Drosophila melanogaster: one gene and its partner. Changing the gene in region 2 together with the main gene of any one other region gives a genetic interaction. Each region holds a gene or a part of one and is shown on either strand. Other genes may lie near its edges.

Region 1 (7,846 bases), on a different chromosome or scaffold from region 2:
CAACCCATCCTGAGACATCCGACCTGAAATTGAATTGCATTAAGCACAGATTTAGAGTGATCCCTTGTCGGATTACTTACCAGCCCAGCTCGCGGACATTTCCGGCAATCAGACCCTCGACACCGTCGTTGATTCCATAAACCACATCACCGCGGTAGATGGCATTGCGCACGAAGCTGCGCACAGCGGCATTCATACCGCAAGCCGGAGCACCAATATGCATCACAGCTAGGCGGTATCCTTCGATTCCCTTGCCATCGGCGTCGAAGTTCTCCTTGGGCGGCTTCAAGCGCGTCAGCATCTTGTAGGTCTCCAGATTCCGCTCGAAGGAGCGTCCGCGCAGCTTGACGGCATCCGCCCAGCGTTTCTCCGCCATGGCCTTGGCCACAGCCTGGGTGCGCTCTACGCACTCCATCAGCGGCACGCGAACCGCCTGGTTGCCGTCCAGAGAGATGACCACTGGCACCGAGTCCTTGGTGGCCTCCATCAGGGCCAAAGTGGCCTCAGCTCCCATGCGGCAAGCCTATGCGGGTTAGAAGCATTAACTCTCAAGTCAAAAATAGTGTAATTATATCTTAATAAGTATATCTTATTTTGGTAACTTTAGTGTTTTAAATCGGATTTACAGCGCTTCTTAATATAAGTATGCTATACAAATAAAACAAAAATAGCTGGCATTGTAAATTACTAATTAAAATTAAATTTTGAGGTGATCTTTGGATAATTACTTACCAAAATACGATCGAAGGCACTGGGATTGCCACCGCGCTGCACGTGACCCAAGACAGTGATGCGGGCATCGTGCTTCAGACGCTCGTCGATCACCTTCTTTACATCCTCGGCTGTGATGGGATGACCCTCGCGATCCATGGCTCCCTCGGCCACAATCACGATGTTCAGACGCTGGCCAGCAGATCGCTCCTGTTGGTCAATGGTGAAGGGATTCACTTAAGCATATATGTAAGATACTAATCGTGAATGATACAGAAACTACAAAAGCACAAACGAATTATGAAGAGGCATGATGAGTAGACATCATCATAACAAAAAAAATGTAGTTTACATATGCTTTGCTTTACAATGTTGAAATAGTGTCACCAAATGTGTATCAGCAAGCGAATGAGTGCAGTGCGTTTCATAAAGTTAACTCACGTTATTCTGTGATATTCATGTATTTCAGTTTGCATCATTAAAATGGCTGTGTGCACGTTCTTTTCAATGTATTTAAGTATTTAAATCAGTTTTGAAACTTTGAAATGCACTGCAACTGAATTGGTGTTTTGAAATATGAAGAATGGACGCACAAGTCAAAGTCGATGAATAGAAAACATTGATGAAGATTTACTGATCGATTAAACGAGGATGGACGTTAGTGGATTTGGAAAAGTTAGTAAGGGAACTCAGTGAGATCATCGTGAGTACATAAAACAGAGACTCAAAACCCAAACAAGTAAATCAAATAGCTGTTAAAGCTGTTTATCGCCATGGAAATTTCGGCACATCGAATAGTCCAAAAACAATGCAGAATAAAATTTAGAAATTCAAAAATTTGACAAAAGAGTAACTAGAAATTAATTGGATAGCGAAGGACTCTGGACCTGACCTGGTGGAGCTTGACACAGATCTCGTCCTTCCAATTGACTGACACCGGCTCCTCGGGTATGAACATAAAATCAGCCTCTGTGGCTATGGCTGCCGATATGGCTAAGTAACTAAAAAAACAAGAGATTAGGTACAAAAATAAAAGATGGTTCACAAATGTCGGGGAGATAATTATCCGGGGATTGGGAGTATCTGGGGTAAACTTAAGATTAGTTACAATATGATTTCGGTATGCTGGTACAGACAAAAACTGTGCGTAATTCATTCCGTATCTCCGGTTTGTGTTTAAAGATACATTCGTGTGCAGTAAGCAGAAAATAAGAACAAGCGTTTGTATGGCAAGTGTCGCTCTTAAAATGTGTCTTTCAAAAAATTGTGTACAGGTGTACTACTTAAGCATCAAGCAACGACAACTGCACTGAAGTATACAACTCTATCTAAAACAGGAATATTATCTCGACAGCTAACTGGCTATATTAATAAGAATAATATCCTAAAATCCTATACAAGCTGTCGAGAACATATTTCCGATGCTTTGCGACTTCTCGCAGTGCTGATGGAATGGAAATGGAGCTGCATCTTGCCTGGGCCAGCTGAGAGCAGAGCCTGTCTGGCCAATCGACCTTGGGCGGCATTTCGGGAATGAATATGAAATCCGCCTCGCACGCCAGTCCACCCACAAGAGCTAAATAGCTGCAAAAATATATATTACAAAATATTAGTCAAAAGGGGGATGGGATTTTGGAGGATATGGGGATCGATCGACATAGTACTGCGGCCATAGAAACAGAAATGTGCGAAATGAGTCGACGACATTCAACAGATTTCCGTTTTGGGCTTGCCTGTTCCAATTTAAGGACAAGTCGATCGGGCCAATCGGCCTGCGGAGGAGACTCGGGCAGAAAGACGTAGTCTGCCTCGGAGATAATGCCAGCTACCACCGAAAGATAGCTAGAGATAGTCGTTCCAGGCATTAGCTAAAATCCCAATTAATCACTGACACTTAGGCTAATACAGAGGCATCCCAACTTTTCCTCGCAAATATCCGCTCAGAGATCAACTTACCCGCAATGACGACCCATGACCTCCATGATGAAGGTGCGCTGATGGGAGTAGGCTGTACTGGAGATGGCATCGATTGCCTCGATGATGCGATGTAGTGCCGTGTCCGTGCCGATGGTCATGTCAGTGCCACAGAAATCGTTGTCGATGGAGCCAACCTACAAAAAGATTCATCCATAAGAAAATATATCCAAGGAATACTCTGTGTAGCATACCAATCCAACGATGTGCAGGACATTGAACTTCTCCTGCTGCTCGGTGGTAATGGTCTTGTTCTTGACCAGCTCGTCCAACAGGCTGGACCACTCCTGACGGAACAGATTGGCGCCCGTGAGGGAGCCATCGCCTCCAATGACCACCAGATTGGTGATTCCTCGCTGAATCAGGTTGTTAGCGGCTTTCAAGCGACCCTGACGCTCACGGAAGTCCTGGCAACGGGCGGAGCCAATGATGGTGCCACCACGATGGATAATGGATGAGACTGAGGCCCAGTTGGCTTCCTGGATGCAGTCGCCACCATCCACCATGCCCTGGTAGCCTTCACGAATGAAGTAGACCTTGCCGAAGGTAAACACGAATCAATTGTAGATATGGTGTAAAACAGTTTGGTATAGAGTTTGGTATCTTCATGGCACATGACATCATTAGCACAATTAAAAATGAATCACCGAATTCGAGTATAAATTATTTTAATTTCATTTTCACTCTGCCAAAGTCGTAATATTTTAATAGGAAGCAGTAAAGAACAGTCAATAGAAATTAATATGATATGACTTATCTCATATACTTTCTCAACTTTTACTGAATAAGTTTAAGTTTTAAACAACAAAACATTTGCATATTCAAAATACCGTTACAGGTAATTACAATGTAATCGATGTTAAATCGATACTTTTTAAGCAACTCACATAACCAAGAATTCAAATTTTATAACGCTCTTAATTTGAAAAGTGAAAAAATAACATAAACAATAATGATGCCAAGGCACTAGTAGATTAAAAACAAAGGTTAGATTACTTGAACTGATTTGGAACCATTTGTTTAGCATACTCATGATATATTTATTAATTTTGTTCAATTTATTGAACATATCAAGCGCTGTCATGCAAAGCGTGGCAATAACTTTACTTTTATTGACCCCCAAGAAATTGAAATCAAATGAATAGATTTTAATCAATTTAAATTGGCTAGCAATTGACACATTTTTTGCATATTTTCGAGGGACCAACGGCCGGCCAGAAGTTCCCTAACAAATTAAAGAACTCATTTAAATAAACCGAATAGAAACCAAGAGCGACAACAAAAAAACGAAACAAATTAGCCGAAATCGAAATCGCATGTGAGGGACCCGAAAATAAACCCAATGTCAATGTGCATGTACACATATATTCTTGAATTTCTTTTCGCACCGATTGGAGATTATCTAACTGGCTTTGCGGCCCAATAGTCGTGGTTTAACGGCTGCTGATAAGCAAATTACCAGGTGTTTTACGTAAATTTCTGGGTTCACATGGGTTTGTTGCCTGTGCCTGGGGGTCGGGGTCACCGGACGCGATGCTGCGTGGGCGGAAAGTACTTGACAGAGGTCACCAACTCACCTTGCAGCCCAAATAGATGGCCATACGGACACAGGCTCGCACGGCGGCATTCATGCCCTGGGAATCCCCGCCGCTGGTGAAGACCGCCAGTCCTTTGTCCTTCTGCGAGCCGCGGGCCAGGAATCGTTGATTAATCTCGGAATTCATTTTTCAATCTTTTGCACTATATGTAAATCAAACTGGGGTCGTAACGGATATCGCACAAAGCACACACTATGAACCACTATTGTACTCGGTAGGGAGTTTCCCTGTTTTGCAACTATGCGAGCAGCGCCGCTGGAGCTGGGTTATATCCAAGTGGGCTATAAATACTACTACTGCTCCTTGCCGTGGCTTTTCAGTTACTAGCAATATGTACGCTCGCAGGCGGTATTCACAAGTTTCGCTTTTGCTTTTGACGTTTCAAGGTGACCTTCAGGCCAGAGACGCATACACAACACACACGGACACACGCACACAGCCACGGGCTTTCTGTAAGTGCGTACTGATGCAATGCAAACTTCGGATGGCTAAATCCGCCCAAGAGTTCGCTCCAACGCGATTGCCCTAACTTGGTTTGATTTAGGTCGAAAATCTGAGGATTCTGTCTGTTATGAACGGACTTTTCGCGACTAGCAACGAGCGGAAAATAGCGTTTAACCAATTTGTTTATGTTCGACCCACAATCGTTCAGCTGTTGATCAGCTGGTTATCACTGGGCGAGTAAAAGCTTTCGCGAGCTTTCACCGCTGGGAATGGGGAAATTCGGGAGCAGTCATCGGTTGTGTGTGGGTGCGATTGCCGTTATCGTTATCGTTTATATAATACGTTATTCTGATATTCAAAAAACCGGAAAATGTATCCTCAGATTCGAAAATGTTTATGAAACGCCAATTATTATGCTATATCTCAAGTGTTCAACTGATGTTCTACCCTATCTACAACTATCCGCGTAAAGTAACGAAATGTAAGAGCTTTTATCGTTGAATATTAGTGCTCGTTTAAGTGCGTAATTATTTAAAAAACTGTAAAAAGCGAGACAAACTTACAAAAGGCTTGACTGGATGTACAAAATCAATAACATCCTGCATGGTTCTTAAACACTTTCGCAGCTCATCCACCGATTTGCCACATTTCCTTTTTGGTGCACTCTTTTTCTTTTTCACCGCATTCTTTTCAGAATAGTTCACAGCATTAAGAAATCCGTTGTGCAGATTGTTTATTGGTTTTCCACATCGTTGCGCAGACTTGTCTTTTTGTATGTTTTTTTCACCAGGACTATCATTCTTTTGATCACCAGAATCACTGCGCAACTTTATACAATGTCGTTTGCAATTAAATTTTACACTTAAAAGAGTATTTCCTCTAAGCAAGTAAAAGGAAGAAGTGTTATAATATAAAGTCAAACTATATAAGCACATACGAAATATCTCGAGGACAACACAAATGATGACTTCGTGTGCATTGGATGCCGATGTTTGGAAATGTGAGCTAAAGTAAAACAAAGTCTTATAAATTGATCAAAATTAAATTCGATTTTTACCTTTTGCCTAATCGGAGGTGTTTTGTTTGAGATTTCTAAGCGAAATGTTGTAGGACCATGAAAATGGCGGCAAATGGGTATCCGTCCATTGATTTCCAAAAATCTCCAAACAATCGAACAGCTTATAAGTGGGTGTAGTGAATAAATCAAATTCAGACAACAACTTACATAGGTTTTAATTTGGTAAATACTCGAAATTTTATTGAATGCATGCCAAACTAAATTTTGCTCCTAAATATTGAACATTTTTATTAGATTACCAATTTTTTTCATTTTCTGAACTCATTTTTTTTTTATGATTTTTGACATTTTAGCTAATGTAACTACGATCACAAATATTATATTTGAATAAAAACTCATTTGGTTGGTTTTTGTATTATTTATTTAATTTTTTGTTTTTTTTTTGTTGGTAATTAAGAAACTGTAATTTCAATAAACTTAAATATTCCACTCATACATCAATCTTTGCCTCTGTTATATGCATACAATTTACGCCTACACCCGGTTTAATTTTCATCTGGTTGTTATTATTTTTCGGTTTTATGAATGTATTGCAGTTTCACAATATTATTATTTTATATGTTCTGGGATTCGACTTATTAGCGTTGCGGCAAAAGTGTTTCTTTTATTTAAATATATATTTTTTTGTTTGCTTTTTTTTATATTCCTCACATTCATAATATAGCGATAAATTCAATTGCGAAAATATACATTTACTTTTATCATACATACATATGTTCTGTATGCTGGACAATAATATATTTTCTTTCAATACACATGCAAAGTTTTCTTGTATTTAAATTAAAAATTTGAATAGTTTAGTTCACAATATTTATGTATTTTGATTCGATCTTCATTTAACTTCCGTTTTAATAATTCCATTGCTGATTTGCAGGCTGCAATTGTCATAGATTGAAGAAGTCGACCACGTTTTCGAACGATAATAAAACAGCTAAGAAATAATCGCCAGATTTTAGGAACAATTTGTGGCTGTTTCTTTGTTGGGGAAACGCTTCTCTGGGCTTAAACGTACACATATTTATGCATGTACTTCAAAAAGTTACACCCAACTAACGAATAAATGGGAAATTGGGCAGACATTGCGCACAATAAAACTCGTGCCTTCGCCATGTTGCACAGTAAAAAAAAATGTTAGTGGACTTCCGCGAGGGGATATTAGATTTCATTTCGTTCGAAAAATTCATTTGACAGACGACAGTTGGTTATATGTATGTATTATATGAGTTATGCTTTTCACAATTGTTTATACCAAGAAAAAACAACAAAGAAATTGCAATTGTAGATTTAACCCTTTTGTTTTATGTAAGACATGTATAAAAAATAGCAATGAACAATTATATATTTTCTGTATTTTTCCGTTCTCGCCACATTCCTCTAACAGATATGGTTCCTGATTCATGGGATTTGAACCGATTTCCGCACGTGCATTATAAATGCAGCCCTGTCTGTGTGTGACTGTGTGTATCTGTGTGTGCTTCTGTTTGTGTGTGTGGGGGGCAGGTTGAAAAACGAAAAGTGAACCAATTTCGAAATGAAATAAACGTAAAATGGGAAACTAGGTTTTTTGGTTTTATTTGTTTAGAAAAAGAATTACAAATAATACATAAGTTTGTTTTTATTTTTGTTTTCTCATTTGGTTCGCTTGGTTGTTGTTGTTGTTGCTGTATCTTTTGCAGTTGTTTCTGTTGCCATACGAAAATTAAATATTAATTTGGACTGTTGCAAAAAACGTATAATAACCGATTATCTCATTTCATTTCTTGTGTATACAGTTAGGAATATTATTTAGTTGTTTTTTTTTTGTTGTTTTGTAAGGAGGAAATCCACACGAGGCACCGCCAGGGCGAACAAATTCGGAGCATCTAGAGTTTGGCCGTTTCGATCGGGAAAAACACACACAATAACGAATTATCTGCTAGATTAATTTGATTCAAAATCCGGAAAAATCATGCCAAACTCCCAAATAGTCCGCATTCGTTTGACCCTCACAGCGATGCTGTATTTTTCTGTATTTCTTAAGCAGTTGCAGATCTTAAGCTAC
Region 2 (5,313 bases):
TTTAAACATTTTTCAGAGTACATAATTTAATTCAAAATGAAAAATATAACTTTTACGATATAGCTTTTTTCAATGGTATTTACTTATCCATTGACCTTCTTGTGATAATCAAAACACTTACGTTCTCCAGGGTCAAACAGCTACATTTGTGGCGCCCTATTATCCTGCAGAGCATATTTCTCTCGAGGATGGAGTGGGCTCCACTGCATCTCATCGCCACGCGGACACAACTGAACTTCATCATTGGCCCTTGCCCGAATACCAATTCCCAAACACCGGGGCACTAAAATGAGCTTGTAGCCAAATGGGCAATTGCCACGCACTAAAATTTTGAATATGATCGGAAATTGTTGAAAAATGGATTTGTACTCAACCGAAAAGAAATCGACAGTAAAATCATAAGCAAATCGACAGAGATGGCAACTGTCACTAAACAGAACGAGAAGGAAATATAACGATTTTGGGATTGCTTATGGAGCTGACAACTGCTCCTTTTCAAATACTACTTTGATTCGAACTGTAATTCTTCCACAAATCGAATTATCTATTAAATCTATTCCGTTTATTAATATCTTATAAATCTATCAAAATTCTATAGTGCAAGTATAGGTGAAACAGACTGAGATTTTCACATTTCAAAAGTACATACTTGATTCACTTTTGTTAAGAAAACTAATTTGGATTAATTTTTCTAGATTTTTATATTTTCAACAATTTACACCTCGCTTTATCCTTATTGAACACGTTCGCAATATAATATCCAATGCAGTACCCCAGAGTTATGTGGTGCGCTACGATGTGTGGTTGGAGTGCTCCGATTAGCTAAGCTTTTTGTGGGTCTCTTCGGATCCGTTCCGTTCTACGGGGTTCTCATCGTTCAACTTTCGGCTTATGATCTAGAGATTTCGCTTGTGTCCAAGTTTCTGAGTTATTGTGTCTTCTTGTCTGTCTGTCAGTGATTTGTGTTTGCTGTTCGGTTTTCTTGTTTCGTTTAAGGTTCTTGTGAGTTCCCGAATCAGATTCGTTGGCCCGATGACTTAGTGATTGACGCCCTTGCGCTCCTGGATGTGATCAATATCGTAGGCGATGGTGCCGCGCAGCTTGGGCTCCAGATTGTTGGAGTACACGTCCGTCCAGAGGTGGCTCACGCCCAGCTCGGCATCGGACTTGGCGAAGGCGGTGGCCTCGTCGACCTCCTTGCGTACCTTCAGATCGATGGCCTGGAAGATGTTTTTTTCTTTTAGCAATCATAACTCATAACAAAAATAAAACCCTATAAGCCAAACCCACCTTAACTTCATCGGTGGTAATCAGACCCAGCTCGATGCACAGCTCCTTGAAGGAGGTGATGGGATCACGCTTCTGGCGCACCTCCTGGATCTCCTCGCGTGTGCGGTACGATGTGCCCGGATCGGACATGGAGTGTCCAGAGTATCGGTACGTGTTCGTCTCCATCACCAAAGGTCCGTGAGTGTTCACATAGTTGATGGCGAACTCGGTGGCGCTGCGCACGGCCAGCACATCCATGCCGTCCACCCAGATTCCGGGCAGAGCGTCGCCGCGGGTATAGTAATCAGTGTTGCAGGAAGCACGCTCAGAACTGGTGCCCATTCCTAATGGGTATAATTATACAACATTTGGTTTAAGTAAATATCTTTTAGCATTGTTCCACTTTCTACAGCACTCACCGTAGTTGTTGTTCTCGCAGACAAAGATCACAGGCAGTTTCCACAGGTAGGCCATGTTGTAAGCCTCGAACACCTGTCCTTGATTGGCGGCACCATCACCGTAGAGGGCCAGGCACATGCCGCCATTGCCCTTGTACTTGCAGGCCAAGCCAACGCCGGCACCCAAAGGAACTTGAGCACCCACGATGCCATTGCCTCCGTAGAAGTTCGGTGCGTACATGTGCATGGAGCCACCCTTGCCGCGGGCACAGCCACCCTGGACACCGGTGAGCTCAGCCAGTACGCCGCTGGGTGAGACGCCCATCAGGTAGGTCCATCCGTGGACACGGTACGCCGAGATGATGTTGTCCACATCCCGCATCGCCGCCTTCATGCCAACGGCGCATGCCTCCTGGCCGGAATACAGATGACAGAAGCCGCGAATGATCTTCTCCTTGTACAGATTACCGGCGGCCGTCTCCAACCGACGGATCGTCTGCATCTGTGTGTAGTACTTGAGGGCCTGATCCTTGGTCAGCTTCACTTCCGTGGCGGGTCCTTCGTCCAGGCGGTGCAGCTTGAAGGGCTGCAAAGTTGGAAAGCATATTTAGAATTTAGATCCCTAAACTTCATTAATTTTAAAAACGTTTTCTACTTTTACATTAACAACTGACACACACATCTGATAAGAACGTAACGGAAACGTTTGGAACGCATGATAAGTAATAAAATGATAGCAGTTTGATTGGATAAACCAAATAACCATAGGCTTCAAGCTTCTCTAATCAAAGTATACTAATCTATAGAGAGCTATAACCACATATCGAGGATTTTCGGAAGTATGCTCCAAAAACCAAATTTGGATTTATGGCGGCTAATTTATGGCGTGAGAATCGACGTAAACAGAGAGCCAGACAGACAGACGGAGAGAAAGAGAGAGAGGGTGAAAATCGGCGGATCGTTGATAAGACTATATGTTATATGGTGCGTGAACAGTCACGCGTCGGCCACGCAAAAGGCAGACGGTGATAAAGAGCGTGGGAGACGGAAAACTACAAATTACTGCGTGACCTTGTCATTTGAAAATGAGCGGATTGACCGGCAAAATGCAACCCTGCACTTACACACACACACACACACACGCAAACCGTTTGCTATCTGGCGAAAATCGCATTATGTAACCGTATTTTTTCCCTTCCGACTTTTGAATTTTCCTGAGTTACAAGTACTTAATGCTATAATACGCACCCGATTCACTTGAACGGTGGCCTCCGTGGCATAATTGTTGGTTTTCGAAACACCTGCTTGGGCTGCATTCTGGAATAAACCGAAAAACGACGATGAATATCTCCCATTCCTGATGATATCGATGCTGCTGTTGTTGTTGTTGTTGCTAAGTATCCGACATCCGCTGATGATGATGTTGTTGTTGTTGTTGTTATGGCAACGCTTTTAGTGTTTTCATTATCGAATGGATTTGTTCAATTGCATTTTTAGTGACAACAATTAGAAATGTTAGTGGGTGCAAAGCGGGATTGGGATTACGTACTTTTTGCAGTTGCTTAACAATAATGGGCAATTCGCTAACGCGTGACAGAGTACGCAACATTTTCGCTGTGTTATTCTCGTTCGACTGACAGAAATTGGATGTGAATGGGGGCTTTCTATATGCGGATTGTCCGGATCTAGAATCGCACGCTATATATCTGGTGTCTCAGTCGCACCGCCGCGCGTCGTTGTAAGTTAAACAATCGGAAAAAAAGGTAGCGAGATTAGTTTATCAACTACTATATTGCACAACTATAACAACCGTTTGGCGTTATAGCGAAAAATAACGCACCACTTGGCCTATTAGTGTGACCCTAAATAAAATACTGCAGCTTTCCCTGTTTTCAAAAAATACTAAATTAGCTTATCGAACTTTCTTTTTCAATATAACTTGAAATATAAATGTTTACGTAAAATATTCAATAAGCTTTTATATAATGTGTCACACAATGTTATATCAAAATAATAGTAGTGTTTGGCGGTTATTGAAATACTCGAATAAATACTTACTCAATCACATTTTATATTACTTTGCCGCCCAAATAAAACGAGGGTTTTCAAAGAAGTACTTTTATTTCACATTGAAGATCTCATTTGGTTTTTGTTTGCTTTCTCATTTCTTACTCGTATTGTTACTTGAAATTGCCTCCATAAATCCACATTTGCGATTGCAGTTGCAATTGCAATACTGCTCTATATCGCACTCAGCTCACATAATTCACTAATCTCTTACAAAAACTTAAGTAATGTTTGTTCCTTGCACAAAAAACCAGTTAAATAGAAATAGGTAAAGTAGAATTAAACAGTTAAATTCAAATAAACGCTTTACAAACTAAGATTTTAAACTAGTTTTTGTATTTGTTGGTTTCTCGGTTTGTTGTTTCATTTTTTTTTTTTTGCTTTAGAAATGGCAGCTAAAAGATTTGAGTTTAAAAGTTACTAACGGAAAATGAGGAAATGGATCGATCGTTTGGGAAAAACTAAGCGAATGAAATAAATTTTTTACTTTCTTTTATCTATCTTTTGCTCTGTTACCGTTACACATATTCAATTTTTCGCGCGTTTTTCTGTTACATCAAAAATTGGTTTCTCACACAAATATTTTGCATTATGACAAAAAATTATGCTTTGCTTTGTTTTTTGTTTTGTTTCATATGTATACATGTACATGTATATATATATATATTTGTATGTATAAACACTTATTAGAAGTCCTGTTGTGTTTTTGTTTCCTTTCCCGTTAGAAATCCGGCATTCCGATTATAAGAAAAAAATTTAGTTTTTCTCTTCGTCTTCTTGTTTTTGCGAGTGCTTGTGTGTGTGTAAGTGGGGGAGGTGTGTGTGTGTGTGGGTGAGAGAGAGAGAGGAGGTTCTATCTTACCGTTAGCATAAATAGTTTTGTGTCTACGCAAAAACGTGCTGAGCAATAATCTAAAACGCAATAGCTAAAGAGAGAGAGGTGCTGTATGTGTGTGAAAAGTAACGGTAAATGTGTGTGATTTCTGCATATGTCTTCTGTTGTTTTCAGGAAATTACGTATTAAGCTTCTTATTTTTTTTGGTTGTTTTTAGTAGGTTTTACTTAGGTTCTTGCTTAATTTACACCAATGTTTACTTTATTTTGTATTTCTTGCATGAATATATATATTTACTTTTTGGTTTCCTTGTTTCTTATTACTGTTCGCTTTCATTCCTTGAAATTTGCCTTTAAATTGTTACTGTTCTTCTGTTTTATATAACATAAATCCGATTCGGAGAAACACATAGCACACACTTATATAAACGACAAGATGATAATTATTTATTTTGTCTTTGCTTTTGCTTTCGACTTTCTCCGCCTTTTTGTTTTATTACTGCTTGCACACCACCCTCATGACCTCCCTAACCTGGTTTTGACCTAGAAAGTCTTAGTTTTAAAATTCATTAGAATAATCAAATAAATAATAATTACTATGTTATATCAACTATTATAATTCTCCCTATCTTTTTTAGGATTAAAAATCTGTTAGTCTTAAGTAACCAAGACACATTGTAAAATAAAATAATTTAAGCAGATCAAATTAAGTTGCCGCATGGGTAACAGTGCGTTGATCAAATAA

What was found.
Region 1: of Pdha (region 2) and Pfk, changing one suppresses a phenotype caused by changing the other (phenotypic suppression), as found in Drosophila melanogaster (one study listed by BioGRID).

What each region holds. Positions count from the first base shown.
Region 1 is NT_033778.4:10,107,992-10,115,837, reverse strand, and holds the start of Pfk (phosphofructokinase), read right to left. Parts: upstream 6,099-7,846; 5' UTR 5,997-6,098; coding exon 5,953-5,996; intron 5,906-5,952; coding exon of another isoform or gene 5,888-5,905; coding exon 5,785-5,887; intron 5,733-5,784; coding exon 5,665-5,732; intron 5,607-5,664; coding exon 5,291-5,606; intron 4,969-5,290; exon of another isoform or gene 4,410-4,968; coding exon of another isoform or gene 4,365-4,409; coding exon 4,263-4,364; intron 3,222-4,262; coding exon 2,880-3,221; intron 2,823-2,879; coding exon 2,668-2,822; intron 2,554-2,667; coding exon of another isoform or gene 2,445-2,553; intron 2,296-2,444; coding exon 2,187-2,295; intron 1,713-2,186; coding exon of another isoform or gene 1,604-1,712; intron 922-1,603; coding exon 733-921; intron 524-732; coding exon 81-523; intron 24-80; coding exon 1-23.
Region 2 is NC_004354.4:4,700,495-4,705,807, reverse strand, and holds Pdha (pyruvate dehydrogenase E1 alpha subunit), read right to left. Parts: upstream 3,484-5,313; 5' UTR 3,277-3,483; coding exon 3,217-3,276; exon of another isoform or gene 3,117-3,216; coding exon 2,916-3,116; intron 2,254-2,915; coding exon 1,689-2,253; intron 1,614-1,688; coding exon 1,291-1,613; intron 1,221-1,290; coding exon 1,038-1,220; 3' UTR 543-1,037; downstream 1-542. Other genes in the region: CG7024 (uncharacterized protein), read right to left, coding at 122-244.